7 linked regions of the Callithrix jacchus genome follow. The protein of the gene in region 4 purifies or fractionates together with the protein of the main gene of each other region. This does not show direct contact. Links are inferred from orthologs where the notes say so. Each region holds a gene or a part of one and is shown on either strand. Other genes may lie near its edges.

What was found.
Region 1: the proteins of EIF4A3 (region 4) and SRSF1 fractionate together in Homo sapiens (co-fractionation; 4 studies listed by BioGRID and IntAct, with this or other methods). This does not show direct contact. The link is inferred for Callithrix jacchus from reciprocal best matches to the Homo sapiens genes EIF4A3 and SRSF1.
Region 2: the proteins of EIF4A3 (region 4) and NCBP1 purify together in Homo sapiens (co-immunoprecipitation; 3 studies listed by BioGRID and IntAct, with this or other methods). This does not show direct contact. The link is inferred for Callithrix jacchus from reciprocal best matches to the Homo sapiens genes EIF4A3 and NCBP1.
Region 3: the proteins of EIF4A3 (region 4) and CDC5L purify together in Homo sapiens (affinity purification with mass spectrometry; 3 studies listed by BioGRID and IntAct, with this or other methods). This does not show direct contact. The link is inferred for Callithrix jacchus from reciprocal best matches to the Homo sapiens genes EIF4A3 and CDC5L.
Region 5: the proteins of EIF4A3 (region 4) and SF3B1 purify together in Homo sapiens (co-immunoprecipitation; 3 studies listed by BioGRID and IntAct, with this or other methods). This does not show direct contact. The link is inferred for Callithrix jacchus from reciprocal best matches to the Homo sapiens genes EIF4A3 and SF3B1.
Region 6: the proteins of EIF4A3 (region 4) and UPF1 purify together in Homo sapiens (co-immunoprecipitation; 8 studies listed by BioGRID and IntAct, with this or other methods). This does not show direct contact. The link is inferred for Callithrix jacchus from reciprocal best matches to the Homo sapiens genes EIF4A3 and UPF1.
Region 7: the proteins of EIF4A3 (region 4) and NCBP2 purify together in Homo sapiens (co-immunoprecipitation; 3 studies listed by BioGRID and IntAct, with this or other methods). This does not show direct contact. The link is inferred for Callithrix jacchus from reciprocal best matches to the Homo sapiens genes EIF4A3 and NCBP2.

Annotation. Positions count from the first base shown.
Region 1 is NC_133506.1:108,329,303-108,333,936, forward strand, and holds the start of SRSF1 (serine/arginine-rich splicing factor 1), read left to right. Parts: upstream 1-1,458; 5' UTR 1,459-1,581; coding exon 1,582-1,775; exon of another isoform or gene 1,776-2,191; coding exon 2,192-2,376; exon of another isoform or gene 2,377-2,741; coding exon 2,742-2,914; exon of another isoform or gene 2,915-3,114; coding exon 3,115-3,301; exon of another isoform or gene 3,302-3,674; coding exon 3,675-3,697; coding exon of another isoform or gene 3,698-3,713; 3' UTR 3,714-4,634. UniProt on the Homo sapiens protein: Plays a role in preventing exon skipping, ensuring the accuracy of splicing and regulating alternative splicing.
Region 2 is NC_133502.1:145,778,869-145,782,771, forward strand, and holds part of NCBP1 (nuclear cap-binding protein subunit 1), read left to right. Parts: intron 1-733; coding exon 734-831; intron 832-1,810; coding exon 1,811-1,874; intron 1,875-3,903. UniProt on the Homo sapiens protein: Component of the cap-binding complex (CBC), which binds cotranscriptionally to the 5'-cap of pre-mRNAs and is involved in various processes such as pre-mRNA splicing, translation regulation, nonsense-mediated mRNA decay, RNA-mediated gene silencing (RNAi) by microRNAs (miRNAs) and mRNA export.
Region 3 is NC_133505.1:52,881,499-52,885,401, reverse strand, and holds part of CDC5L (cell division cycle 5-like protein), read right to left. Parts: intron 3,576-3,903; coding exon 3,411-3,575; intron 1,893-3,410; coding exon 1,812-1,892; intron 1,515-1,811; coding exon 1,272-1,514; intron 1-1,271.
Region 4 is NC_133506.1:135,880,260-135,883,550, reverse strand, and holds part of EIF4A3 (eukaryotic initiation factor 4A-III), read left to right. Parts: intron 1-1,786; coding exon 1,787-1,928; intron 1,929-2,614; coding exon 2,615-2,753; intron 2,754-3,291. UniProt on the Homo sapiens protein: ATP-dependent RNA helicase. Involved in pre-mRNA splicing as component of the spliceosome. Core component of the splicing-dependent multiprotein exon junction complex (EJC) deposited at splice junctions on mRNAs.
Region 5 is NC_133507.1:118,370,231-118,374,133, reverse strand, and holds part of SF3B1 (splicing factor 3B subunit 1), read left to right. Parts: intron 1-257; coding exon 258-470; intron 471-724; coding exon 725-846; intron 847-3,211; coding exon 3,212-3,409; intron 3,410-3,508; coding exon 3,509-3,610; intron 3,611-3,838; exon of another isoform or gene 3,839-3,903. UniProt on the Homo sapiens protein: Component of the 17S U2 SnRNP complex of the spliceosome, a large ribonucleoprotein complex that removes introns from transcribed pre-mRNAs.
Region 6 is NC_133523.1:17,531,040-17,535,703, forward strand, and holds the start of UPF1 (regulator of nonsense transcripts 1), read left to right. Parts: upstream 1-1,797; 5' UTR 1,798-1,850; coding exon of another isoform or gene 1,851-1,861; coding exon 1,862-2,092; intron 2,093-4,664. Other genes in the region: uncharacterized protein LOC144580760, read right to left, coding at 1,406-1,797, 1,851-1,863. UniProt on the Homo sapiens protein: RNA-dependent helicase required for nonsense-mediated decay (NMD) of aberrant mRNAs containing premature stop codons and modulates the expression level of normal mRNAs.
Region 7 is NC_133516.1:25,206,718-25,211,359, reverse strand, and holds the start of NCBP2 (nuclear cap-binding protein subunit 2), read right to left. Parts: upstream 2,865-4,642; 5' UTR 2,813-2,864; coding exon 2,735-2,812; exon of another isoform or gene 2,679-2,734; intron 1-2,678. Other genes in the region: protein NCBP2AS2, read left to right, coding at 3,025-3,324. UniProt on the Homo sapiens protein: Component of the cap-binding complex (CBC), which binds co-transcriptionally to the 5' cap of pre-mRNAs and is involved in various processes such as pre-mRNA splicing, translation regulation, nonsense-mediated mRNA decay, RNA-mediated gene silencing (RNAi) by microRNAs (miRNAs) and mRNA export.

The sequences.
Region 1 (4,634 bases), about 28 Mb from region 4:
TTCTCTATTGTTACCCAGGCTGGAGTGCAATGGCGCGATCTCGGCTCACTGCAACCTCTGCCTCCTGGGTTCAGGCAATTCTCCTGCCTCAGCCTCCCGAGTAGGTAGGATTACAGGCACGTGCCACCATGCCCAGCTCATTTTTTGTATTTTTTAGTAGAGACGGGGTTTCACCATGTTGACTAGGATGGTCTCGATCTCTTGACCTCGTGATCCACCCGCCTCGGCCTCCCAAAGTGCTGGGATTACAGGCGTGAGCCACCGCGATTGGTTTTCACCATGTTGGCCAAGCTGGTCTTGAACTACTGACCTCAATGTGACCCGCCCATCAAAGTGCTGGCGTGAGCTACCACGCCCAGCCTGATTTTAATTTGAATTCATTACCTTAAAAATCCCTGGATTTAACATAAAAAATCTAGATTTTAGACGTCGGAAAAAAATGTAAAATATTATCTCCCAAGACTGCAGGCAAGTAGATCACAGTCCTGAGTAGCAACCGCGGTCTCTAGTGGTTACGGTTCTCACATCCATTTCGCTCCATTTTATTACCTGAGAGGACTGGTAGTTTCAAAACCTGGTATATCAGTAACTTTTAGGGAAAACTGCACACACGCACCCCTTCTTCCTTCTCTTTATTTGAAAGGAAACAACGGAAACAAATTTGCAAATCTTTTGCGCCAGTCCCACGGATAGGCGACTAACAAGAGATACAGAGGTGTGGGTCCCAGAGGCGGTACGGTGTTTTCACCCCTTCCGGATAGCTAGTACGACCTACCCACCGCGACTAAGCACAAGGAGTGCTGAACTAAGCTATGCAAAGTTCTGACCAGAAGGTGGAACGGTACTTAGTGAAGAGGATTTATTTAGGAATCGAAATCGGTTTTGCTAAATTAGACAAATCTCATTGTCTAAGGAGCCACGCCCTGTTCGCAGGAGGAGAGGGAAGACAAACCAACGCCCCAGCTCTCCAATGGCACCTCAGCTCTGAACTAGACGCACTCTACAAGGATGCCTGGGTTTCCGGAGCAACCGCCCGGTCCCTCCCCCTTTGGCCCCGCCCCCGAGACTCCTTCCCGCCAAAGGCCGTTATCGCCGCAGAGCATGGTGGGACAAGGCTCTAGGCTAGGTTTCACCAAGTCCTTTCAAGGCGCCGAGTTGCTTTCAGAGATCCTCATTCCTGGGGAAACTGACTGTCCTTCAAGACCCGACCTGGAAGACTAGCTCCTTTAGAGAGAGTTCTTTATTTAACTTTTACCAAACGGCCACTCTATTCGCAAACCACCCCAAGCCGGGAACGCGGGGGACTTTTTTTCCCCCTTCGTGCGGAGGGTGACGTCGCGCGTGCGTGCGCGCGCGTACGTTGAACGTAGTCTTCGCAGCGCGTGCGTGTTGGGATCGAATCGCTGTTTCCTTCCGCTTCTCTTCCTCTGTCTCCCCCCCCCCCCATATCCGTGCGCCGAACTGATAAAGGCGCCATTTTGGAGGGGCCGCGGGAGACGTGGTGCCGCTGCGGGCTTGCTCTGCCGTGCGCTAGGCTTGGTGGGAAGGCCCGTTCTCGAGTCCACGTTTTTCGTCGCCGCCATGTCGGGAGGTGGTGTGATTCGTGGCCCCGCAGGGAACAACGATTGCCGCATTTACGTGGGTAACTTACCTCCAGACATCCGAACCAAGGACATTGAGGACGTGTTCTACAAATACGGCGCTATCCGCGACATCGATCTCAAGAATCGCCGCGGGGGACCGCCCTTCGCCTTCGTTGAGTTCGAGGACCCGCGGTGAGGCGGCATGGGGCTTGCAGCCTTGAGGAAATAGGTCCGAGTGGTCGGGGAAGACTCCAAGGCCTTAATATAGAGAACGGGAAGGCGGGGGCTCTTAGAGAGGATGGGGCGAGACTGTATCGCCCATGCAGGAGTCGAGTGAGGAGCTGAGTTGGTGTGGCTTCTCTGGCGCCTCGCCTTGGACGTCCCCGGAGCCCATTCGCAGGCTGGAGCGGGAAACTGAGGCGCTGAGGGCTGGTGTAGTGGCTGGGAGCCTGGCGTGTTTCTGGGTGGGGGAGGGGTCATTCCCATTATGCGGCGCATGTGGGCTCTTCCACGTTGGGTGCGCATGTGCGGGGGGTTCGCTGGTTCCCGACTGAGCGATCTTCTCCTCCTGGTCTTTCTCATGCCTTTTACTGTCTACGATCCCGCAGGGACGCGGAAGACGCGGTGTATGGTCGCGACGGCTATGATTACGATGGATATCGTCTGCGGGTGGAGTTTCCTCGAAGCGGCCGTGGAACAGGCCGAGGAGGCGGCGGGGGTGGAGGTGGCGGAGCTCCCCGAGGTCGCTATGGCCCCCCATCCAGGCGGTCTGAAAACAGAGTGGTTGTCTCTGGTAAGTCTACCGGTTGTGTGGTTGATGTGAAGGGACGGAAACTACTTAAAAATTTTCTCTTGCGTGACCGGTTTAACAATTGCAAATTTTTCATGCTAGGTCTTAAATTGCTTTAGTTTTTGGGTGAATTTAATAAACGAGGATTGCTGCTGTGGTGATTTACCAAATTAGGTTGCGGTACTAGATACGAAGATCCGTTACAAATAATTTTGGACTCTGGATTCCAGAATCTTACCAGCTCTTTACCTGGTATCACTTAAGTACAACTATTAAGTATTTTAAAGTACTCTTTGTCCTAATGTACCTTATCAGCTTAACGTGAAATTTAAGATAATTGATACTAAGAAAAAAAATCGCTTTTTCAGGACTGCCTCCAAGTGGAAGTTGGCAGGATTTAAAGGATCACATGCGTGAAGCAGGTGATGTATGTTATGCTGATGTTTACCGAGATGGCACTGGTGTCGTGGAGTTTGTACGGAAAGAAGATATGACCTATGCAGTTCGAAAACTGGATAACACTAAGTTTAGATCCCATGAGGTAGGTTATATGCTTATTCTTTTTTTTGACCAGAATTGGATACAGTGGTCTTAACAGTGGAATTTGAAGGTAAGGATTCAGGCAAGGGTGTCCAAGTAAATTGCCAGATTTCTGGTTTTAGTTACATTGTATTCATTCAGCATGCCTGAAGCTAGGTGAAAGCTTAGATCTTTCAATGGAAAGTTCTGTCTATCCAATAGGGAGAAACTGCCTACATCCGGGTTAAAGTTGATGGGCCCAGAAGTCCAAGTTATGGAAGATCTCGATCTCGAAGCCGTAGTCGTAGCAGAAGCCGTAGCAGAAGCAACAGCAGGAGTCGCAGTTACTCCCCAAGGAGAAGCAGAGGATCACCACGCTATTCTCCCCGTCATAGCAGATCTCGCTCTCGTACATAAGATGATTGGTGACACTTTTTGTAGAACCCATGTTGTATACAGTTTTCCTTTATTCAGTACAATCTTTTCATTTTTTAATTCAAACTGTTTTGTTCAGAATGGGCTAAAGTGTTGAATTGCATTCTTGTAATATCCCTTTGCTCCTAACATCTACATTCCCCTCGTGTCTTCGATAAATTGTATTTTAAGTGATGTCATAGACAGGATTGTTTAAATTTAGTTAACTCCATACTCTTCAGACTGTGATATTGTGTAAATGTCTATTTTGCCCTGATTTGTGTGAACTGGGATGTTGGGGATGTTTATGGTTATCTTACCTGGGGAAGTTCTTATGTTTATCTTGCTTTTCATGTGTCTTTCTGTAGACATATCTGAAGAGATGGATTAAGAATGCTTTGGATTAAGGATTGTGGAGCACATTTCAATCATTTTAGGATTGTCAAAAGGAGGATTGAGGAGGATCAGATCAATAATGGAGGCAATGGTATGACTCCAAGTGCTATTGTCACAGATGAAATTGGCAGTATTGACCTTATACTAAAAGGCAGGGGGGTAAAAATGATTATATACATTTTCCTTAAAACACTTGAATGTTTTATTCAGTTACCTTTAGCTACAATTGCTTTACCTTTTAAACCTTGGCAATTGTGGCAAAATTATGTTGCCCATTTTGTAGCAACTTATTTTGCTCCCTTCCCCCCATTTTTGTTATAATAGGGACTAATGTGGGAAGAACTGGCTAATTTGTCGCAGTGCTTAGTTACAACTGTTAATGTGTGACCTGCTGTTGGTGTACATGTGGGTAGAGGGTGTCTTTAAATCCAACAAGATAGAGTATAATATCAATACTGCTAAATCTGCATGTCCTCTGTGTGACTGATAGAGCGTTGCTATTTCATTTTTTTAAGACAAAATGAAAGCAAAATAATAGAGTTCCAATGTATTGGTGTAGATAATCTAGTTGGGAATACTTAGGTCTCACCTTCCCCTTTAATATTCATAATTGATTCATATGTTTAAAACACTTTAATTTACAAATTAAATTGCAAATGGGAGCATTAGATTTAGTTTTAGATTAGGTGGGTAGCAATGCCAGTAAACTTAAATTACATAACTTCTTGCAACCACGAAACCTGTAATACACTGTACAGTAACAAGTGTTGGCATTATCAGTTGAACTGTAAATATAAGATGCTTCTTCCAGTTAGTCTCTATGATGATTAAGTTTCTAAAATTTATCTGAACACCATTCAGAAACTTGTTTTGGGGAATTTGATAGTTATTGATGTGCATCTGTTAAACTGATGACTGACATAACTCATCAT
Region 2 (3,903 bases), on a different chromosome or scaffold from region 4:
TTATTTTTTTCATGCAAGGGAAACTAGAATGGGACCTCAAAATTTGTTTCTCCTGTATCTATATTTAATTGGTATCACCTCTATAAGGTGCATATCCATCCCTTGCTGGAAGAGTGTAAATATATAAAATACTTATTACTCTCAAAACAAAGAGGATTTGGTGGTTCTGGCCTTTTAAAAGTTGTTTATTAAAAAAAAAATAGAAATTGTAAAGAAGATTAAAATCATCTGAAAGTCACCATTAAAGGTCTGTTTTTTGTTCTTTGAACCTGTTTGCTATGAATATACTTAAGAATAAAATAATGCCATGTAGATAATATGTTTTAAACTTAGTATATTGTGGGCATCTTTCCATTCATGTGTGACTTTTTAATGGCTACATGGTGTTTGAATAGGATTTTCTCTCTCTCCATATTAATGGAAATAATCTACTTGGTTTAAAAAAACTGTAAGGCTTGTAATACCCAAAATTATTTAGTTTGTTTCATATAAGAATTGGTGTGTAAAGTGGGCAATGGTTGTATGGTAGGTATCAGATGTAGTAGAAGAAACACTACAGCTGATACTCTGGGGTATAAGTAAACATGACAGTGGAATTCACTAAAATATAGAGCTTTAATCCTCACCACCCAGTATAGTGCCTGGAATAAAATAGTCTCTCAAATATTTGTTGAATAAATGAAAGAAATCTGTTTCCTAGCCCTGTGTGTGTACACGTTTGGTTATTTTCCAGGGTCCTGTTATGCCAGGGAGTCATTCAGTGGAAAGATTTGTAATAGAAGAGAATCTTCACTGCATCATTAAGTCCCACTGGAAGGAAAGGAAGACTTGGTAAGATTCTTTTCATGGTGCTTTTAGAATGGAGAAAAAGCAGCAATTTTGGTGATTCAGTAAGAGCAAAGCGTATGTTCAGAGTGTTAGAAAATCTTATTCTCCTAACTCCCTGTCTTGCTAAGACCAATTTCTAAAAACACTTGATTTACTTTGAGGCTCTTCACCTTCATGTAGTACTTTTTAAGGTGCTTTATAGTAATAAGCATATAATGTCAGTTTTTTGCTGTGGATATTTATATGCTATGGAGAGCTTGAATGGCAAGTTATTTGCGGTTTGGATACCAATGGTTTTGCTCTGTTTTCTAGCATTTAGACATCCAAGCTTTGGAGTGTTTTTTTAAATAAAATTTTCTTAAACTTTGGAAAGTTTGGTTTAGATTTTAAGGTAGAAAAATTACAGTATTTTGACAGTGATCTACCCTATTAAAACTTCTTTTTTTCCGTGAAATGGAGTTTTACTCTTGTTGCCCAGGTTGGAGTGCAGTGGCGCAATCTTGGCTCACTGCAACCTCCACCTTCCAGGTTTAAGTGATTCTTCTGCCTCAGTCTCCCGAGTAGCTGGGATTACAGGCATATGCCACCATGCCTGGCTAATTTTGTATTTTTAGTAGAGACGGGGTTTCTCCATGTTGGTCAGGCTGATCTCGAACTCTGTACCTCAGATGATTCCCCCTGCCTCGGCCTACCAAAGTGCTGGGATTACAAGCGTGAGCCACTGCACCTGGCCTAAAACTTGTTTAAGTTAGTACATTTGAATGTGCTTCCATAGATCTTTCAAGAAATTTTGGATGCATTAAATATTTTTCTGTGATAGATAAAATAATTTATGCCATAGTTAAATGAAGTAACTGAAATCTAGGACATTTCAAAAAAGATTTTTCTTTGCTTATATCTAAACACATTGCTTTTGAAACTGCTTATTTGACTTTTCATGTGCCTTTGTATACTTATTAAACTTAAATTACACTTTTTATAGTGCTGCACAGTTAGTGAGCTATCCAGGGAAGAACAAGATCCCCTTGAACTACCACATAGTTGAGGTATGCATTCCATGTGGAGCTTGTTTCTCAGTTTTGGAATCTCTCTGTTGACTTTAAAGTATAATCTACTCTTGGCTTATTTATTTTTTGCTACTTGTCAGACATTGAAAATTAACAGAGGAGTGAGGAAATTGCTGTCAGTTTTGGTGCTGTTTAGCCATGTTAGTAAAGAGAAAAAAGGTTGAAACCAATAGCCAAATGGAATTTTGAGTTGCATATAAATTATTATATAGTATGTCCTCATTCATAGATAGTTGTTGTGGATACTGTAAGTTACCTCTAGCTCTGTCAATACGTTGTCCACTTAACAGACATATAAGTGGCTTAAATACTTTATCATTTTAGACACATATCTTTAATTGTGTTTGGCCTCTTATTACTAGCATGCAGTTGGTTAGTATATTATTTCCTGTAACACAAAGTAGAGATGAATCATTATTTATTCTTAGAAATCTAAAGAGCCAAGCAGTTTAGAAATAGAGTAGCAACACTTTTGACTTCATATTAACGCATACAAAAGTTGATGTTAATATACAGTTGAATACTTTATAGAGATGTATATTTAAAAAAGAAAGTGTTCACTTGACATGAGTCAAACTGTTAACTGCATTATTTCTTTTTTTGGTTTTTGGTTGATTTATTTATTTATTTTTTGAGACGAAGTCTTGCTCTGTTGCCCAGGCTAGAGTACAGTGGCATGGTCTCAGCTCACTGCAACCTCCGCCTCCTAGGTTCAAGCAATTCTTCTGCCTGAGCTTCCCAAGCAGCTGGGGCTACAGGTGTGTATCACCACGCCTGGCTAAGTTTTGTATTTTTAGTAGAGACAGGGTTTCACCATATTGGCCAGGCTGGTCTCTTGACCTCGTGATCCGCCCGCCCCGGCCTCCCAAAGTGCTGGTATTACAGGTGTGAGCCACAACGCCCGGCCCACTGCATTTTTAAAATATATATATATTAAAGTATTCATGGGCCAGGCACGGTGGCTCATGCCTATAATCCTAGCAATTTGGGAAGCTGAAGCGGGCTGATAATTTGAGCTCAAGAGTTCAAGACCAGCCTGGGCAACATGACGAGACCCTGTCTCCACTAAAAATACAAAAAAAAAAAAAAAAAAAAGGCCAGGCGTGGTAGTGTGCATTTGTAGTCCCAGCAACTTGGGAGGTTGAGGTGGGAGGATCACTTGAGCCCAGGAGGTCAAGGCTGCAGTGAGCTGAAATCGTATCTCTGTACTCCATCTTGGGTGACAGAGTGAGACTCCGTCTCAAAATAAATAAATTAGCATTCATGAAAGAGAGAGCATAGATAGGATGTATTAAGAGTCTCATCCTCTACTGACTGAGCTAACTGGGCCTGATAGGATATATTAAGATACATATTTTATTAATAATGCACTTTTGTGCTTTTTTAAAAAAGTACTGTGTATTTCCCTTCTTTACAAAACTTGTGTATACTTAATGCTATGAACTTGGCTCATTTCAGTGACATGCCTGAAATGCAAAATGTCATTTTTAAATCTGCAAAATTTATAGACATTCATTAGACCCAAGTGTAGAAGTGTGAGAGATGGGTAAGAGTAAAGGATGCAGACTAGGACTTTAGAATTCTAGGCAGATGGTCCACCAATTATACAGAGAGGGTGGGAAGGAAGCTTCTGAATAAGAGGCATAGCAAGGAAGTCTTGGATTGCCAGAAAGATCTGAGGATCTATTTCAAATAACAGTGTGGAATGACTTGATTATCTTGTTTCCTGTCCCCAGAATCTAACAGGATTTTTTTTTTTTTTTTTTGAGATAGGGTCTCGCTCTGTCACCCAGGCTGAAGTGCAGTAGCACGATCTCAGCTTATTGCAACCTCTGCCTCCTGGGTTCAAGCAATTCTCCTGCCTCAGCCTCCCAAGTTGCAGGAACTATAGGAGCCCACCACCACACATGGCTAATTTTTGTATTTTTTGTAGAGACAGGGTTTCATCATGCTTTCCAACTTGTCTTGAACTCCTGACCTTAAGTAATCTGCCTGCCTTGGCCTCCCA
Region 3 (3,903 bases), on a different chromosome or scaffold from region 4:
TTACTAAAAAATGAGTGACTCAGTTATTCTGAAATCAGGGACAACTTGTTGAAATATAAATCAAAACCCTCCTTCCTTTCTCTATTTTCTAAAAATCCTATAATAAATATGTATTACTTATGTGATAAAGAAAATACAAAGTAAGAAATTGTGAGAGGGGAAGAAAGAGGAATAATGCAGGAGAGAAGACAGGAGAGTTTGTAAGAATCTTGTTTGTTTTATCCTAAGTAACCAGGAGCTCATTTCAAATCCATGAGTCTTACTGCTCCTCAGGGCTGAAGGCTAAAGAAAAAAAGACTCAAGCTAATGACCACTCTGCTTCCAACTATGAGACCCACTCTATCTTCTTACACAATTGTGGAGATTTCTATTTACAATCACAGTTGTTTGCTCTGTCAAAGAGAAGGAATAAAATGTGTATGGAGGAAAAGACCAGACACAGACTTCATATAAGAAATCATTTCTGGCCGGGCGCGGTGGCTCAAGCCTGTAATCCCAGCACTTTGGGAGGCCGAGGCAGGTGGATCACGAGGTCAACAGATCGAGACCATCCTGGTCAACATGGTGAAACCCCATCTCTACTAAAAATACAAAAACTTTGCTGGGCATGGTGGCGCGTGCCTGTAATCCCAGCTACTCAGGAGGCTGAGGCGGGAGAATTGCCTGAACCCAGGAGGCGGAGGTTGCGGTGAGCCAAGATTGCGCCATTGCACTCCAGCCTGGGTAACAAGAGCGAAACTCCGTCTAAAAAAAAAAAAAAGAAATCATTTCTTCATGTCTTTATCCAAAAAAGGATATCAGGGGGAAATCAGGTAAGGGGAGTATATTCAGCAAACAAATATTTCCTTTCTTTCAACAGGTGAAAGTTTAATATATAAACATTTTTATATTAGCCTCTCTCTCACCTCTTCATATTATTCTAAATAAGCAAGGTTTTAGTAGTAAAGGCATCAAATTTTCATTCAGAGATAGCAGAGCTGAATACAGAAAATGGCAACTGTAACAACTGTCAATCAAGCCATTAATACCCATGAAACAAAAACATCCTGGTGGTGTTTATTTGATAAAGGTCTAGCACACTGAACATGGGGGACAGAGGTATTTAAAGCATGTCCTTTTCATAACACTTAATCTAAACATGTAACTCCTAATCATATACTTTAGTCGTTTACAAATACCAATGGGGAAAATAAGTTCATTATTTGTCCATGATACACAGCACCTAACAAATAACTAAATCTCAAGACAGAAATATTCCAGCTCAATCATACCTTTTTCAGCTCTTCTTTGGAGAACTTTTCATAAGGATTATGTTCCAGATAGGTAATGTGCTCTGAATTATTGGTACCAAACGCTACAGTTTTGCCTTTTTTACTTCCAGATGGTTCATAAGGGTGATGTAGAAGGTCATAATGAAGCATTGTGATCATTTCTTTTTTGATTAGTTCTTCACTTTTCTGTAAATCTGTTAGAGGTGGCTCTACATTTAAGGGTCTTAGAATAGTTTCATTTACCTAAAAATTTAAAACAAATACAATTACCAAACATATCACTGCAATATATTAACATTAGTACCTGTTACAGCATGAATTAAATAGCAGTTTTACATTTTCGAAAGCAATTTCTATTTTTTTACTTTAAATTCTTATTAGTACTAGTGAAACACTTTAAAGACTGGATTTGAGAACTACCTTGCTATATTCCAGAAAGTAGATGAAATTTTGTTTTACAGTCTTTATGAATGATGTAAAAAGCAGCAATCATATAAAAAGAAACTTAAAACTTCCTAAACCAGAAATTCTAACACTTACTTCTGATGGTCTTGGCAGATCTTTCTGGACAGCTTTATGCATTCGTTTCATTTCCTTTACACGCTCTGCATCTCGTATGGCCTAAAAAATGATTTTTATATCCTTTATTGCAGCTATCGAGTATTTAACATCTCTCAATAAAGCTAAAAACACTTTGGTATGTAAGATCACATATGTTCAAGAGCTAAAGTTTAGAAATTAGTTTAAGTTTGTAGAAAGGCAATGCTAAGGCCACAAAAATGAATGTTTATTCATTCTCATTATAATAGAAACTCAGAGTCCCCACTGTCTACGAGAGCATTCTCCAAATTTGCATGAATCCATCCATCACATAACAAACTTTTCTCATCCAAATGGAAAATGTAAACTCCAAAGAGACTCCCCGCAAAACAACTCTTTCTTCCCTTTCACCCCAAATTACTGACTTTTAATTCAAAAAGCTAGCCAAAAAATGTATTGTTTCTTGATTGTTATGAATAATGTGGGGTAACACATTAAAATTTCATGCCATTTCTGAAGGAGTAAATGGAACTCAAAGTAGCTGAGACCTAAACACAAAAAGTATCATCCTCTGTTCCCCAATGAAAAGCACATTCACATGGGTCCCCTCTAAAATATTATTTCCACTGATGTCATTCTCACTCCAATCCCCTGAGATTAAAGGCTCCTAAAATCCTCCAGCAATGGACTGCAGCAAGAATTACTGAAAGGGGTCATATAATACCAGTACTAGTTTAGGAGTTACCACTTACCCACCATGAGACCTGAGAAAGTTGAGACCATGAGACCTGAATTCATCTGAGCTTATTGAGTATTCCTTATCAGAAATATCTGGCACAAGAGTATCTTAGATTTCTGATTTTTTTCAGATTCTGCAACATCTGCATTATACTAACCAGTTCAGCACCTCTAATTCAAAAAGCTTCAATGAGCATTTCTTTTGAGTGTCATGTCAGCCCTTAAAAAATTTTGAATTTTGGAGTATTTCAGATGTTGGATTTTTGGATTAGCAATGTTCAATCTGTAATACCAATCCTATTTATATCACTGTGCTATTATGTGCAAATGAGAAAATAATTATATATAAGATATATTACTACAAAGTGTTACTAATATTATTCTGACATACTCTAAATTTCCAACTCCAGTTTAGATAGAGGTCTTACTATATTGCCTGGAAAGGATCCTCCCACCTCAGCCTCCCAAGTACCAAGTAGCTGGGACTACAGGCTCCTACCATTGCACTACCCAGGAACCAAGATGTATTTGTTTTTAAAGCTAACCAATAACATCTTTTCTTTGCTAGACTGAAGTAATGTCAAAAAGACTTCCTATGTGTATTTTAGAGAAGCATAATGAATTTGACAGAATGTATTTAAATTTCCATATACATTTTTAAGAATGTCCATCAAAATACTGTGAGTATATTAATTATGTAAATGAGTATTCCTTATTAATGACATGTTATTTACTTTCAAAATTTTTTTCAATATTAAAAAGAAATAGGTAAAGATCTTGAGACATTTAACGGCTATTCTTCATTCTTCAAGCCTGCTGACACATTCAGCCAAGCTCACTTCTTTCAATGCAGTCACCCACCTGCTTTCGAGCATCCACATCGGCAGCATCTTCAATGTAAGTATCATCTATTTCACGTTCTTCCAGCTCCTTCTCAGCATTTTCTGGTAGAACAATTTCAAAATCATTCTTGGGGGCAGGAAGGCCCAGCAACCCTAAACGGAGATGTTCTCGAGATTCTCTTTCCTGTAGAAAAGAAGTACTCCTTCTCAATTCATACACATCAAATATTCAACCAGTATTTTATGAGTCTCTTAGAAACTGATAGCACAACAGGGTGACTCTAGTCAAAATAACTACCTTTCAAAATAACTAAGAGTATAATTGGATGGCTTCTAATACAAAGGTTAAATGCTTGAGGCGATGAATACTCCACTTTCCATGACATGATTAGTACAAATGCATGCCTATATCAACATACCTCATATATCCCATAAATATATACAGCTACTATGTATCTACAAAAATTAAAAATTATAAGAAGAGAAAGGTCTCAAAAAAATCAGCCTAGTAT
Region 4 (3,291 bases):
TGTGTGCGTCGGCTCCGGTAGGAGGTGTCGCACTCACTGGAGGGCACCGTGCGCCTGCATCCCTGCTCACTCAGAAGTCGCCTCCTGTGTTGACGACTGTTGTGTTGGTGTGCGAGCAGGGGAAAAACCCAGTTTGGAAGTTTGCCTAAAACTCTGTGTGTCCAGACTTTTTGTACATAGCTGTGGTTAATACACATGGAATCCTGTGTTTGGTTTGATAATCTGCTTTTATAAAAATGTATCTGTCCATGATAAGAAAAGTATTCTGTGGCCTGTTTAATGGCAATGAGGTATTCTACTGGAGGGATGGATATTCCATGATTCATTTCTTGGCTGTGTAGGTGATTTTCATTCTTTAAGATAAATTGGAAGCTGGTATGGTGGCCCACACCGGTAATCCTAGCACATTGGGAGGCCGAGGCGGGCGGATCACCTGAGGTCAGGAGTTTGAGATCAGCTTGGCCAACGTGGCGAAAGCCTGTCTCTACTAAAAATATAAAAACTACTTGGGTGTGGTGGCGAATGCCTGTAATTCCAGCTACCTGGGAGGCTGGGGCAGGAGCATTGCTGGAACCTGGGAGGTGGAGGCGACAGAGCGAGACTGTCTTGACAAAGATAACTTGGTAGGATTCGGATGTATACTTCCTTGGGTTTTCATAGGTGTTCTGACATGAGCTCTATGCAGTCTTCTAGGTGATAGCAGTTGCTCTCTCAGTGATTAGGAAATGCATGACCTGAGTTCAGTGTGAGGATCCGTAGTGGGCCCCCCAGGGTCTTCACAAGGCACCGGTGGGCCGTGAGGAAGTGCTGTGCTGTCAGCATTCCCCAGGGCCACCCATCCTCGGGTCCCGGCCTCTTGTTCCAGCAGTTCTTTGGGATCCTGGGGGGCTGTGCTCTTAGTACCTCTCATCCCTCCCGTCCTCTGTCTGGGGCTGCTTATTGGACCCCTCTGCTCCTCAGTGAGGTTAAAGTTTCGGTGACCTCACTGTTTCTGTGGTGGCTGAGGAAGCCCTGGGTTGTGGGTGGCTCCTTGTGCTTCTGGCCGGCCCTGAGGGCAGGGATTTTCACGGTGAGGGCAGCAGGCCAGAAGCAGCCTTGTCACCTGGAGACTTTGAGAAATGCAGATTCTCTGGCTCCATATGATGTATGGAGTGAGAGCCTCAAGTTCATTAACTGGGCCTGTGGTGAGGAGGCCGGGCCCCTGCTTGCTCCTGGCTCCCTCCTCCTCTGCCCAGCTCTGCCCAGCTCTGCCCAGACCTGGCGGAGGGTGCAGGGTGCAGGTATGCCGGCTGCTGCACTAATTTCCACCTGTGTCGTGTTGAACAGTGTGGATAGGTAGGCAGCGTTGTTCACTGGGAGATGCTCTGTAACAATCAGGATGTTTGGATTCTCTTTGAAATGTTGCACGTGTGGTCATGGTGGATGGCAGTCCTCACAGGACAGTGGCAGGTGGAGGCATCCGAACTGAGGGTGACTCAGGCCAGCCTGTCTGTCGGTTTTCATTTTTTGGCATCTAGGACCCTTGGGGTGGGTTTCTCGATCCCTAGAGCACTTCAGATTGAAGAAGCATCAAAGGGAAACCAGGTTTCCTCTGTCCTGCTCCGGTGGGTGGGGAGTAGGGACAGAGAATTTGCGGGTGTGTCCCGGTTCTGTAAAGATGAGCTTCCCTGTCAGCCGCACCTTATCACAACTCTGCCTCTAACCCAGTGGGAACACGTGGTGTGCACGTTCCATTTCTGGCTGTGCCATCCTAAACATCCCTCACCTGTCCTGCTCCCTGTCCCAGGTTTCAAAGAGCAGATTTACGACGTGTACAGGTACCTGCCTCCAGCCACACAGGTGGTGCTCATCAGTGCCACGCTGCCACACGAGATTCTGGAGATGACAAACAAGTTCATGACCGACCCAATCCGCATCTTGGTGAAACGGTAGGCGCCCCTTGTGTCAAGTGTTACTAAACACTGGCCCGCATGTATAAAGAGTTTTATGTCATAATTTCAAAAACCTTTTGTAGCCAGGGTCTTGCTGTATTGCTGAGGCTTGTATCAAAATCTGGGCCTCAGGCCACACTGCCGGAGGTAAAGGAATTTAAAGCATGCAAGTTCTTTTAAAATTTGTGTTTTGAAAAACCAAATACTATCTTGGGCAGTATAGGGAGACGCCATCTCTACAAATAATAAAAAGTTAGCCAGGTCTGGTGGTTCACGCCTGTAGTCGAAGCTACTCAGAAGGCTGAGGTGGGAGGATCAATTGAGGCCAGGAGGTTGAGGCTACAGTGAGCTGTGATCGTGCCACTGCACTTCAGCCAAGGCAACAGACCCTGTCTCAAACAAAACCAAACAGAAAACCAGTTTTTATAATACTCATTCTGCTTTGAACCAGTAATCCCAAATTTAAACATTGGGTGATGGTATTTACTTATCATGTTTTAGTTAGAATCATTTCACGTGGTGCACATTGTGAAATGTTGAGTAGGGCATAGAATGGAGGCAGGATGGGGGACAGGGCTGGGTCTGCGCCAGGTATCAGGGTGTGACCTTCTCCACCGGGGTCTCCCTAGAGCCTGGCCTGCCCTCAGTCCTAGTGTGTGACAGGATTTGTCTTTGTCCTTCAGTGATGAATTGACTCTGGAAGGCATCAAGCAGTTTTTCGTGGCAGTGGAGAGAGAAGAGTGGAAATTTGATACTCTGTGTGACCTTTATGACACACTGACCATCACTCAGGCGGTCATCTTCTGCAACACCAAAAGGAAGGTAAGACGCATTATACTGCCTCCAGGTGCTTGAAGGGAAATTGAAGACTGAGTCTCTTAATGACTTAGATCAAGCTTTTTCAGTAAAGGGCCAGTTTGTCCATATTTTAAGCTTCCAGGATACGTGGTCTCTTGGGAAAGCAGCTGTAGACAGTATGCAAACGGTCAGACGTGGCTGTGACCATTCAAACTTTATTTACAGAACGACGACAACGTCAGCCACCTGAAAGACGCAGATTTTGTTGGTTTAAGGTGGAACCCAGGCCTGAGTGGTTTCAGATCCCTAGGTGATGCTCATTTGGAGGCAGACCTGAGAACTCTCGGCCACTCTCCTGAGAAAGGAAAGGAGTTGGGCTACATTCTAACAAGATTGGAATTTAAACTTAAATTTCAAATGAGAATGAGCAGACCTGGCCCCTTGCCCCATAGAATCATCATGTGGAGAAAATGAAGAGGGTTTTGTAGGGGCACCCGAACATTTTCTGGGGAAAGGTGTTTTTTGCACATCCAGTTAAGATGATTCTGAGTTTTAGGAGCAG
Region 5 (3,903 bases), on a different chromosome or scaffold from region 4:
TTAAGGATAGTTAAAAAATGACTTTGCTCTCTTCCTGTTTCGTAGTAGTTACTGTCTGTTTTTGTAACCCACGGAAAAGAAACATGTATACACACAAGAGTGTGAAAAGGTATATATAAATTTGAAATGGAACACTAGAAATTTAAATAAGGAATATTCTATTTTAGAACTTAATAGATTTGATTATAACTGAGAATAAAAAATATTATTTTAACAGTGATTAAAATTGTGGTCTTACTCACTCTTTCTTTTTAAAGACACTCCTGGGCATGGAAGTGGATGGGCTGAGACTCCTCGAACAGATCGAGGTGGAGATTCTATTGGTGAAACACCGACTCCTGGAGCCAGTAAAAGAAAATCACGGTGGGATGAAACACCAGCTAGTCAGATGGGTGGAAGCACTCCAGTTCTGACCCCTGGAAAAACACCAATTGGCACACCAGCCATGAACATGGCTACCCCTACTCCAGGTAGAAACTCTCTCATTGAAAATAATTGTTTTTTCCTCTACAAATTATTTAATTTTTTCTTTATGGTATTCTGTGTGCTATTAATGTCAATTACTAGCTAGAATAAGGAGATAAAAAAATAAGTCTTGGTTTGCATTTATAATATAAAAGCAACTAAATGTTAGGGTTGGTCTTAATGCTCTTTTATCTCAAAGATATATGTAATAATACAGTGTTGCACTATAGATTGTATAAAAATTTGCTTTTCTTGGTAGGTCACATAATGAGTATGACTCCTGAACAGCTTCAGGCTTGGCGGTGGGAAAGAGAAATTGATGAGAGAAATCGCCCACTTTCTGATGAAGAATTAGATGCAATGTTCCCAGAAGGATATAAGGTAGTACATCAAATATGAATGAGGTTGTATTTAGGATATGCATTTATTTTAAATAGTAAAAAAAAATTGATCAAGGTTGCATTGGCTTTGCCCAAATTTAGTATTGTCATTCCATTCTCTTAGGTATTTCCAAGTATGTTTCAGTTCCAAAGAGAGATGAAAAGAAATGAACAACAAGAAATTAATTTTTGAAAGAAATCTCAAGGACTATTGGTTAGACTTTGAGAACTGCCGCTGCTTCAGTTTTCCATCAGTCCCAGGAATAAACTCCTTTAGATTGTGGTTTTTTTTTCTTGGTGTTTTACCAAGATTTTGTGTCCTTAAGTTTATGGATTATCAGTGGACACAAAGAATATTCTTGTTTTTTTTGGTGGTGGTGGTGGTTTTTTTTTTTTTTAGATGGAGTCTCACTCTGTTGCCCAGGCTGGAGTGCAGTGGCATAGTCTCTGCTGCCTGGGTTCCAGTCGTTCTCTTGCGTCCACCTCCTGAGTAGCTGGGATTATAGGCGTGTGCCACCATGTCCAGCTGATTTTTATATTTTTAGTAGAGATGGGGTTTTGCCATGTTAGCCAGGCTGGTCTTGAACTCCTGACCTCAGGTGATCTGCCCTTCTCAGCCTCCCAAAGTGCTGGGATTACAGACGTGAGCCACCATGCCCAGCGTTCTTTTTGCCATATCAACTTGAAATTTATTTTGAACTATAAAATTTTCTAGGTAGCTGACACTTAGGGAGTATTTGTTAGTCTAAAGGTAGTCTGTGGTCGTATAGCTGAGATTATAACCAGAGAAACCAGATGACTTTGTAAATCATCTGATGGCCTTTACAGAGCTTTTTCTGTTAATGACTGTTGATTTTTAACAGTTTGTGTGTGTTTTTTTTTTTTTTGGTTTTGTTTTGTTTTGTTTTAGAGACAGGGTCTCACTCTGTTGCCCATACTGGAGAGCAGTGGCATTGACATAGCTCATTGTAGCATCGAACTCCTGGGCTCAAATTATCCTCCTGCCTCAGCCTCCTGAGTTAGCTGCGGCTACAGGCATGCACCTCCACACCTGGCTAATTTTAATTTTTTTTTGTAGCGATGGAATCTCAGTGTGTTGGCTAGGTTGGTCTCAAACTCCTAGGCTCAAACTGTCCTCTCACTTTGGCCTCCTGAAGTGCTGGGATTATAGGCATGAGCCACTGTCCCCAGACTTGTTTTGTTTTTGATCCCCTGTTATTTTTGCTAAGTATGTGTTTCAAGTTTGCATGAATTTTTGCTTAAAAGCTTTTTGTAGACTCCACATAATGCTGTGGGTATAGATATAACCTACTGTTGACTGCCTGAGCTTCTTTCTCAGTCATAGTCATTGATTTCCTTAGTGTCACTAGGAGGAAAAGTCTCCCTTAGTGTGAATCCTCCTAAAAAGCAACATCCTTACTAATGAATATAAAAATATAGGAGACCTTTAAATTCTTAATGGCGAGTGATTTCTGTGGACTTGAAACTGATTTTTCTAGGCTTCACATCTATAGAGTATCCACTTTATTCAGAATGCTTAGTGGTCTGTGCTGGTGCAGACATTAACTAGCAACGAAAAATATCTGTATTTTGCAGATATTTTATATATATCAAATTATATAAAATAGAGATGGGGTCTCGCCTTGTTGTCCAGGCTGTTCTCAAACTCCTGGGCTCAAGTGTTCCTCCCATCTCAGCCTCCTAAAGTGCTGGGATTACAGGCATGAGCCACCACACCTGGCCTGACCAGAAGTTGTAATTTTTTTTTTAAGTCTGTTACCAGCTTAAAAAAAAAATTATTTGTGATTTTTAGCCAATAGTTTTTGAAATTTTACTGGTTTTGCAAAAGGTTTAATTAGGTGGTATATTTTACAGGGCTTTGGTAAACATTTTGGTTTTAGTTTTTATGAGTTTTACCTTAAAAGATTTGTTTTTAGAGTGCAGAAATTTATGTGATATTTTAATACTAAAATATAGCTCTTTATATGTTGTATACACCGTATGAGCTTATTTCCAGTTATATAAATACTTATTAAACGTTATTTGCTTTACTAGAGCATTTTTTGGAATTGCTGACTCAGATTTTATTTTCAAATTTTTAATAATTTGACATTTTGACCCACAACATGTTTGAACGTGATTAGTGTTTTCTAAGCTCTTCTCTTGTATTTCCTCAGTTCCCTATACAGCTGATATAATCAACAGATGAGAAGCATGTATTTTAAGTTTCTAATTACATTAGAAAAGCAAGATAGGTGTTGTCTCCAAGCAAATAAAAACCTTCTAACTAATAAACTGTAAAATATTTTAAGTGCAAATGTTTTTCAAGTTAAGATAATTCTAAAATGTCTTATAACTTTTATTAGGTACTTCCTCCTCCAGCTGGTTATGTTCCTATTCGAACTCCAGCTCGAAAGCTGACAGCTACTCCGACACCTTTGGGTGGTATGACTGGTTTTCACATGCAAACTGAAGATCGAACTATGAAAAGTGTTAATGACCAGCCATCTGGAAATCTTCCATTTTTAAAACCTGATGATATTCAGTACTTTGATAAATTACTGGTAAGTATTGCTAGCAGAAATAAACTATTACATTGTGTTCCAGAATTATAAATCATAACATTTCAATTTGCCTTAACATTTGTTTTCTTTTTACTATAGGTTGATGTTGATGAATCTACACTTAGTCCAGAAGAGCAAAAAGAGAGAAAAATAATGAAGTTACTTTTAAAAATTAAGAATGGAACACCACCAATGAGAAAGGTAAGTCTCAGTTTGTTAAGTTGTCATGTTTGTTGCTTATGTAATTAAAAACAAATTTTTGTAGTTTTTGTAGAGACAGGGTTTTGCCAAATTGCCCAGGCTGGTTTCAAGTGATCCTCCTGCCTCGGCCTACCTCCCAAAGTGCTGGGATTACAGGTGTAAGCCACTGAACCTGGCCATGTTTATATTTTTAAAAATGTTTTTAATTTTTAAATTTTTTCACCAGGAAATGTAGTCCACAAAATAGTAGTGAGCTATTGGTATAGCCCACTGTGGAGTATGGCCTTTCCTTA
Region 6 (4,664 bases), on a different chromosome or scaffold from region 4:
GTGGCTGAGGCAGGAGAATTGCTTGAACCCAGGAGGTGGAGGTTTCAGTGAGCCAAGATCGCGCCATTGCACTCCAGCCTGGATAACAAGAGTGAAACTCCATCTCAAAAAAAAAAAAAAAGGCCAGGCGCGGTGGCTCAAGCCGGTAATCCCAGCACTTTGTGAGGCCGAGGCGGGTGGATCACGAGGTCAGGAGATCGGGACCATCCTGATCAACATGGTGAAACCCCGTCTCTACTAAAAATACAAAAAATTAGCTGGGCATGGTGGCGCGTGCCTGTAATCCCAGCTACTCAGGAGGCTGAGGCAGGAAAATTGCCTGAACCCAGGAGGCGGAGGTTGTGGTGAGCCGAGATGGCGCCATTGCACTCCAGCCTGGGTAACAAGAGCGAAACTCCGTCTCAAAAAATAAATAAATAAATAATAATATATATGTATATATATTCACACACACACACAGGATCTCTGTCACCCAGGCCGGAGTGCAGTGGCACAATCATAGCTCGCCTCAAACTACTGGGCTCAAGTGATCATCTTGCCTCTACCTTCTAAAGCGCTGGGATTTCGGGAAATAGCCATCTTGCCCAGCCTTACTAGCCCACCTTACTGGCAGCAGAAACTCTAGGCTCAGAGAGGTTAAGTCACTTGTATAATTTCATACAGCTAATAAGTTGTCAGGTCTAAATTCCACCACAGACCATATGCTTCCAATTGTTTTGCTGTATACGTCCGCTAAATAATCATAGCAAAAATTGTAATTGGTTAGTAACAGCGGCAGAGAAATCAGGAACAGCAGCAACCATCATTTCCACGTGCCAGGCCCAGAACGTAAGACTATCCCCATTCATTTATTTTTATTTATTTTTGAGACAGGGTTTCGCTCTGCTGCCAGGCTGGAGTGCAGTGGTGCGATCGCGGCTCACTGCAGGCTCAATCTCCCAGGCTCAAGCAATCCTCCTACCTCAGCCTCCCTAGTAGCTGGGACTACAGGAGCGAACCACCAAGCTTGGCTAATTTTTGTATTTTTTTGTAGAGATGGAGTCTCACTCTGTCAACCAGGCTGGTCCCGAACTCCTGGGCTCAAGCAGTTCTCCCGCCTCAACCTCCGAGTGTTGGGATTATAGATGTGACCACCGTGCCGAGCCCCATTCTCTTATTAAACCATTGCACAGGGAGCATCTACTGTGTGCGAGATATTCCCCTATTTTACCGATGCGGAAACTGCGTTCTAAGCAGCTTTTGCCCGGGGTGGGAGGGCACTGTCCTTGCCCAGCCTCTCCAGTTGGGCGTTCCGAGACAACCTACGTAAGGTATTCGGCTAGCGCTCAATTAAACCGAAACACTGTCGCACCGCCCACAGATGCAGACCGCCCAGTCCACACCGCCCGCCGCCGGGCGTCCCTGATTAGCAGTTGGGGCAGGGCCAAAGTCCTGGAGCTGCCGACGCGCAGGCGGTTGAAAGCCCCGCCCTCTGCGCGTGCGCGTGCGCGTACCGTCTTGCCGCTTGGCTCCCGGCGCCCGAACGCAGGTTGGCTGCGTCCGCGAAGAGCGCGCGCGCTTCCGCCGGCGTCGGGCTCGCGCACGCGCACGGCGACGGCGGCGGTGGCGGCCGTTCGTGCTCAGGGCTGCGAGCAGCGGACGGCTTCGAGGGAAGCGGCGGCGCGGAGGGGCTCAGCGGTGGCAGCGGCGTCTCGGCGCTCGTAGCTCTCGGCCCGGCTGGTGCCGGGGCGGGCGTTTCTGTCCGTTCCGGACGCGCGGGGGCTACAGCGGCGGCGACCCGAAGCCTGCGGCCTAGGCCTCAGCGCGGCGGCGGGCTCGAGTGCGGTGCGGAGCCGGTCAGAGGGCCCTACCCGGCGGCACCATGAGCGTGGAGGCGTACGGGCCCAGCTCGCAGACCCTCACTTTCCTGGACACGGAGGAGGCCGAGCTGCTCGGCGCCGACACTCAGGGCTCCGAGTTCGAGTTCACCGACTTCACTCTTCCTAGCCAGACGCAGACGCCCCCCGGCGGCCCTGGCGGCCCGGGCGGTGGCGGCGCTGGAGGCCCGGGCGGCGCGGGCGCGGGCGCTGCGGCGGGACAGCTCGACGCGCAGGTGAGCGGCACATGGCGGCGCCGGAAGCCCGGGCCCGGCTTCGGCTCCTGGGACTTGCCCTGACCCCGCCTCGGGCCAGGCCGGGCCGGGGCTTACCTGGAGTTCTACACCGCGGCCTGGCCTGGGCCGACCTGCCCCGGGTCCCCTATTCCGTCTGGGCCTGAGCTTACCTGCCCCAGGTTCTGCTCTCTTCCGGGGCCTGGCCCAACTTGCCCCGGGCCCCCGCTCCAGCCGGTACGGGGCTGAGTTCCTTCGGACCCCAACTCCCGGGCCGGGCCGACTTGCCTCGAGTCCTCCCCTCCGTCCGGGTCCGAGCTAACCTGCCCCTGTTCCTTTTACTTCGGCTGGGTTTGTTCCTCCGCCTGGGCTAGAGCTGACCTGCCTTGTGTTCCACAACCAGTGTGGCCTGGAGTAACCTGCCCCGCTTCCCCCCCTCACTCCCCTGGCCAGCTGACTTATCCAGGTTCTTCCACTCCAGCCGGGCTAGGGCTGCCCTGCCCTGGACCCTCTTCCGCAGGTCTCTGTAGTCTACCCCTAGTTCCCTTACGGCCTGGGCCGGGTGTTCCTCACGCCGGATCTTGAGTGATTTCTTTCAGTCCCCTTCCGGGAGTATCCAGGGTGACCTGCCCTAAGCCTGTTTCTGGCTCGGTCTGGGGGGATCTGTCCCGTCTCCCCAGTGGCGAGTCCGGCCTCCCTGTCCCACCTCCCATCTGCGGTGGCAGCCGTCTGGGCACGCCCCCGCCCCGCTTTCACGGTCAAGGAGCCGAGGTTCGAATTTCCCCAGGCGTAGGGGCGCTGGCCAGTGGAGGGTTGAGGCTCCTGGAGCCGAGAAGAATTTTTGCCTCCCGCAGAGGAGCACACATTGGCTGGGTATTAAGATCATTCGGGAGGCAGGTTGTGTTTTGTTTTTTTTCCTTGAATCGCCTGTTGCTGAAACCAACCTGTTACATAACTCCACAACTCTTGCCTTGAAAAAGTTGAGTTTGAGTTTTGTTCCTCCAATAAGACAGCAATAGTGGATTTTATATAAACGAGTCTGCCACTTTGGAAACTTTTTAATGATGTGGATGTTTAGAGAAGGTTATTTGGGTATTTTAAATGGAGGCTTGATTTGGGAAAAGTGTCAGGCATGCATTTCCTGGTTCTGGGTGCTGCCCACCTGGGGTGGGAGAGGGCTTTGGAGTGAGGGTGTTGGCCGGGGTCTGGTGAATGTCCTCATCGTGCTCTGGATCTCAGGTTGCTTTCACCCTAGGCTTGCTTTGTGCCTGACACCTCACTCAGGTTTATTTTCCTGAATGCTCTGCCAGGGAGTAGCTACAAGGCTCACCTTGGCAGAAGTGTCCCTTGGTATATGCTTGTGTTTCAGAGCTGGGGAAACCACCCCTTGCTCAAGCAGAGTGAGCTCAGACCCTGTCCTTGGTTGAGGGGGGCTTACGTGGTAGTCGGTTGAGTCACTCCCGTGGGTAGACCACCCACTTGGGCTTTCTTTTAGCCCCTAATGGAAGCAAAAAAAACATTTGACTCATTCTAACCCTGTATCTCTTAAAATAGAAGGCCTGCATAGAGGTGCAGCGTGAGGAGAACAGGTGTGCACATATGGGTGTTTTTTGTTTTGTTTACATTTGGTGAAGGGAGGGAGGGAAAGAGGAGAGTTCCCCTGAAGAAGGGAGCCTGAGCTGTGGAGGCCCCACCACCTTGTAGTTTTCATGCCCTGTAGACCTTTCTGCTTCGCAGCTGTGCAATGGGGGTGGCGGTTAGATTTTTGTTCTTACTGAAGGAAACCTAGATCCATGTGTTAGTCAACTGTATAGGCTGTCTGTAACCTGACATCCAGCCTGTTGGGGAGACTCGGTAAAGATCTCTGGAGCAGGGAGCAGTGAGCCATGAGCTGTGACAGCATGGGTGCGGGGTTGGCTGGGTGTGAAAGGTAATCATTTTCTTGTGAATCCTTCTAACTGTAGCCAGCATGAAACAGCAAACTTGGGGCAGCCTTTAGTTCTGCTTTTGTTTCTGGCATTCTGTTTGGGATTGTGGGGCATGTCCTTCTCTTTCAGTTGAAACAACTGATTTTTTTTCCCTGCACCTGAGTACACTGGGCTGTGCAAAATGAGAGCATTAAAATGCTTCCCTGGAGGTAACCATTGCAGTTGAGCTCGCAGCAGTTCCTGTGACATCAGAGGGTTTGGCCTGCACTGTTTTTAATTGATCCAGATGCCCCACCCACCTGTTGCCTGTAATTTTGGATGTGTTTGTGGGGAATGGCAGTGGCACCCCTTTGTATCACAAGGGGAAGACTGGAATTTGTGGGCAGGGAAGTCTGTGAATATCATTCAAGGGAAAGCAGAAGAAAGTTCTCTCTTGTGCGAATTGATGGCAGTGTTTGCAAGACATTTGGGGAGACTTTCCCTCTTTGTCCTCAGGAGTTGGCGGTGTAACTAGCTGTGAGTTGGGGGCTCCTGGAAGGACTCAGCCCCTCATTCTGCTTTTCGATTTTTATTTTACTGGGTCAGTGGCTGTCAGCTGTCAAGTGCCCTGCAGTCACTTTTGCTTAACAGCTTTATTGAAATAGAAT
Region 7 (4,642 bases), on a different chromosome or scaffold from region 4:
CAGTACTTTGGGAGGTGGAGGAGGGTGGATTGCCTGAGGTCAGGACTTCAAGACCAGCCTGGCCAACATGGTGATGCCCCATCTCTACTAAAAATACAAAAAAAATTAGCTGGGCATGGTGGTGGGCACCTGTAATCCCAGCTACTTGGGAGGCTGAGGCAGGAGAATTGCTTAAACCTGGGAGGTGGAGGCTGCAATGAGCCGAGATGGCGCCATTGCACTCCAGCCTGGGCCTCAGAAGCAAAACTCCATCTCAAAAAAAAAAAAAAAAAAATCCACAGAACAATAGTCATTCTATGTTAAAATGAGGTTTCTAGAACTATGAGACATTAGACAAAGTAAATTCCTGTCATTTTACTGCTGTCACTGATTTGTTAACATGGATGGGGCATCTTCTTTTTCTACTTTCCTCACACATAAGTAAGGTCCAAATAAATAGCCTACAGTTTAAGATAACTACGGTACAAGTACTTAACTATATGAATATGGATTCCATTCACAGAATGCTAGAAATTCCACATGACAGTATGGTATTATTATCTAAATAAAGCTCTAGGTTTTAGACTGAAGAGATGAATAATAGACAAAGTCAAAAGTTTTCAGTTTTCATTTTACATTGAAGTTAAAAATGGTTAGGATGTGGAATTGTCTGAAGTAATAGCTGTAAAAGTGGTAGAAGTGCAAATCATGCCTGGCACTAAAGCATCTAAAAACCTGACCAGCCGGGATCAGTGGTTCATATCTGTAATCCCAACACTTTGGGAAGCCCAGGCAGGTAGATTGCTTGAGTCCCCGAGTTTGAGACTAGCCTGAACACTGCAGGGAGACCTGTCTCTACAAAAAGCCATATGTAGTGGTGCGAACCTGTGGTCCCAGCTTCTCCAGAGGCTGAGGTGGGAGGATCACTTGGGCTTAGGATGCTGAGGCTGCAGAATCGTGATTGTGCCACTGCACTTCAGCCGAAGCAATAGAGCTAGTCTCTGTCTCAAAAAATAAATAAGTCTTGTTTTATTTGAGACATACTCTCACTCTGTCGCCCAGGCTGGAATGCATAAATAATAATAAATCATTTTAAGACATAGTCTCATTCTGTCACCCAGGCTGGAGTGCAGTGGCATGATCTCAACTCACTGCAACCGCCTTCTGGGTTCCAAGCGACTCTCCTGCCCCAGCCTCCCAAGTAGCCAGGATTACAGGCAACCGCCACCATGCCCAGCTAATTTTTGTATTTTTAGTAGAGATGGGGTTTCACCATCTTGGCCGGGCTGGTCTTGAACTCCTGACCTCGTTATCCACCTGTCCTGGCCTCCCAAAGTGCTGGGATTACACGTGTGCGCCACCGTGTCGTGCCCGTCCTTAAAAATTTTTTTTTTTTGAGATGGAGTCTCGCTGTGTTGCCCAAGCTGGAGTGCAGTGGCGCGATCTCAGGTCACTGCAACCTCCGCCTCCTGGGTTCAAGCATTCTCCTTTCAGCCTCCGGAGTAGCTGGGACTACAGGCGCGCCCCACCACGCCCAGCTAATTTTTTGTATTTTGAGTAGAGACGGGGTTTCATCATGTTGGCCAGGATGATCTCGATCTGTTGACGTCATGATCTGGCCACCTCTGACTCCCCAAGTTCTGGGATTACAGGCGTGAGCCACCATGCTCGGCTGAATAAATTTAAGAGCTTCCCCAATTTGCTGTCAAACAAAATTTCCTTTTCCCTACTTTAGTAACACATTTCACACATTCTCCACACCTACCCTCTGCTATGTACAGCCCTTCATTTCCCAGTCACATGGGGATTCCCCCCGCTTTTCTGAATCTTCACTACTTCTGTCTTAACTCACTTCTGCTTAGATTCTGATTACTTCCCTCCATTTATAATCCATACTACGGGGAATTATGAGCTCGTCGAGTGCAAAAATCTGTCTTCCCTCTCCCTCTAGGGTTTAGTACAAGGCTTTAGCAACAGCACTCAATAAACATTTACTAAATAACTGGGTTAAAGAGTCCCGCTAGCCCCAACCGTATTCCATCCCTGCCTTTGTTGATACTGAAAAGCCTACTCTGAATATCTGCAGCCTCCCCCTTTTTCACAAAATATAGTGATACAGTATTCGATATAGTTGGGACTAAAAATTTCCCTCTTCTGAAATGCAGCAACTCTCCCATCTTTACACCCTCAACGTGCCCAGCTTGACGGGTCCACCTCCTACTCCGAAGGTTCCCCGAGGGCGGAGTGAGGACTCCACTCGTGTCTCCCACGCACCGCGTACAGTTTCCGTAGGACCACCCTCCCAGTGAGGGGGCCCGAATCGCGGAAAGGCACTGCTTCGCTGATTTAAAAAACAAAGTAAAAAGCCCCGTGTCTGCATCAGGAAGGCGCCTCTACAGACTCAGGGAGTTAGGACACCCCTCCCCCTTGTTACGTAGTCACCTTCCCGAGGCAAACCGTGGAAACGGGAGCCACTACTACTACCACTCAAACCTCTCGGCGCTGGCCGGGGTACCGGGAGTGCCTGCTAGGGAACGGGAAAGCGAGCCTCAAATTCTCAATCTTCCAGAGAAAGTGGCTTCATCGATATCCAAACGCCCTTGCAGCACCCATTCCCTGCCTCCCCAGCAGGCACCGAGGCCCCACTTGGCGTTTGGGGACTCCAGCATAATGGGATGCAACACGAGACAAGAGCAAACCGTTTCTCAGCGTTCTGGCCCAGGGCCTTCCCCTCTCGCGGCCGGGCCTCCCTCACCCGGAAGTGCTGGTCCCGGTACTGGCTCAGCTCCACGTAGGAGTCGCTGCGCAGCGCCTTCAGGAGGCCACCCGACATAGCGCAGAGAAGCGGACGAGGATGCGACAACTCCCGACACGAGGCGGCGACTGCCGTGGCGGAAGCGGAGACGGGCGGAGACGCGCATCTTATTGGACCCAATCCGGGCGACAGTATCGTCATCAAGCTGCGCGAGCACAAAAGGCGTCGGGTCGGGCCCGCGGAGCAGAAGGTAAGGGCGGCGCGCTGCGGTTTTCGGGCGCCGGGAGAGGATGGTGCTCCGACGGCTGCTGGCCGCCTTGCTGCACAGCCCGCAGCTAGTGGATCGTCTGTCGGAGTCGTGGCCTATCCGACGTGCGGCGCAGCTCACAGCCTTCGCACTGCTCCAGGCCCAGCTGCGGGGCCAAGACGCGGCCCGCCGCCTGCGGGACCTCGCGGCTGGGCCCGCGGGCTCCCTGGGCCGCCGCGTTGAGCGATTCAAAGACGCTTTCACCCAGGAGCTACGCCGCGGCCTCCGGGGCCGCTCAGGGCCACCACCAGGTAGCCAGAGGGGCCCGGGCGCAAACATTTAAGCCTGGGCTGCGCGGGGCTGAGGCCGCTTCTGGGCTCTATTCTGGCCTCGGCGTTGAGGGGTCATTCCGGGCACTGCGCACGGCCTCGAATCCTGACTCCGATTTTTGGCCTGCGGATATCCCACTCAGAAGAGCCTAGGCCAGACCGCCGTCTCCGTTGAAGTCTTGTGATTTGACAAGGCACAGTGTGGAGAAAGACCCCGAAGCCTAACAGAGGTGAAGATGGGCTGGGTCCAGTCACAGCACCTATGGAGAGCCACCGGCCGAAGCCACAGAGCCTTTCCTCTGCAAATGGGATTGAAACTCTTGACAGATGCTGCTGAATCTGCACGGGTATAGCAGGACACTTAATTCCAGGGACGATATGGATAAAAAGACCACCCTACAGCTGCCAAAATCCTTTGATTAAATGTGTGAGCTGATTAATAGGCATGAGTGTGATACTTCTCAGGCAAGATGGATGAAGAATACTGGGGACTGTAGGCCTATGGTAATAATAAACACATACTTTATGAAATGAGTATTTATTCTGTGCTGCGACTTGCTAATAGCATTCTGTGTGTGTGTTTTTGTGTCATCTCCTTAAAACCACATTCACATGAGGAAGCAGAGATGGGGTAGTCTCATTGTGTTGCCTCGGCTGGTCTCAAACTCGAGCCCAACTGATCCTCCTGCCTCAGCCTCCCAAAGTGCTGGGATTACAAACAAGAGCCACTGAAACAGAAACAGAGGCTGCTGCTTAAGTTGCCCAAAGCCTTGCAGAGTAGGATGTGGGCAGAGGCATTTGACTGCTGGGCTTAAGTCCTTAACACAGCTCTGCAGCATTTATCCTGACGTTGGATGCCTTCCTTCTCCAACCCCCCACCATCAGGCATTAAGACTACTGCCTAGGAGCAGGGTGTGGTGGCAGTTGCGTCTGATCCCAGCCACTCCAGAGGCAGGAGGATCGCATGAGCCAAAGAGATGAGCCTGGACAACATAGCGAGAACCTGTCTCAAAAATAAAAAAAACTACTGCCTGCCATGGAACGAGGTACCTGGACTCCTATCCCTCATTTTAGAGGGTCTGGGATACAAACTAAGACTATGATCCAGCTAGTTAGTGGACCCATGATTAGAAAATCCATTGTATATAGAAATGTCCTGTCATTTGAAGCTCCTAGCTAAATTTCTGATTTTTTTTTTTAAGACAGGGCCTAACTCTGTTGCCCAGGCTGGAGTGCAGTAGCACAATCGTAGCTGTCACTGTGACCTCGACCTGTGGGCCAAGCAGTCTTCCTCCCTGGTCCTCCAAGGTAGCTGGGATTACAGGCCCATGA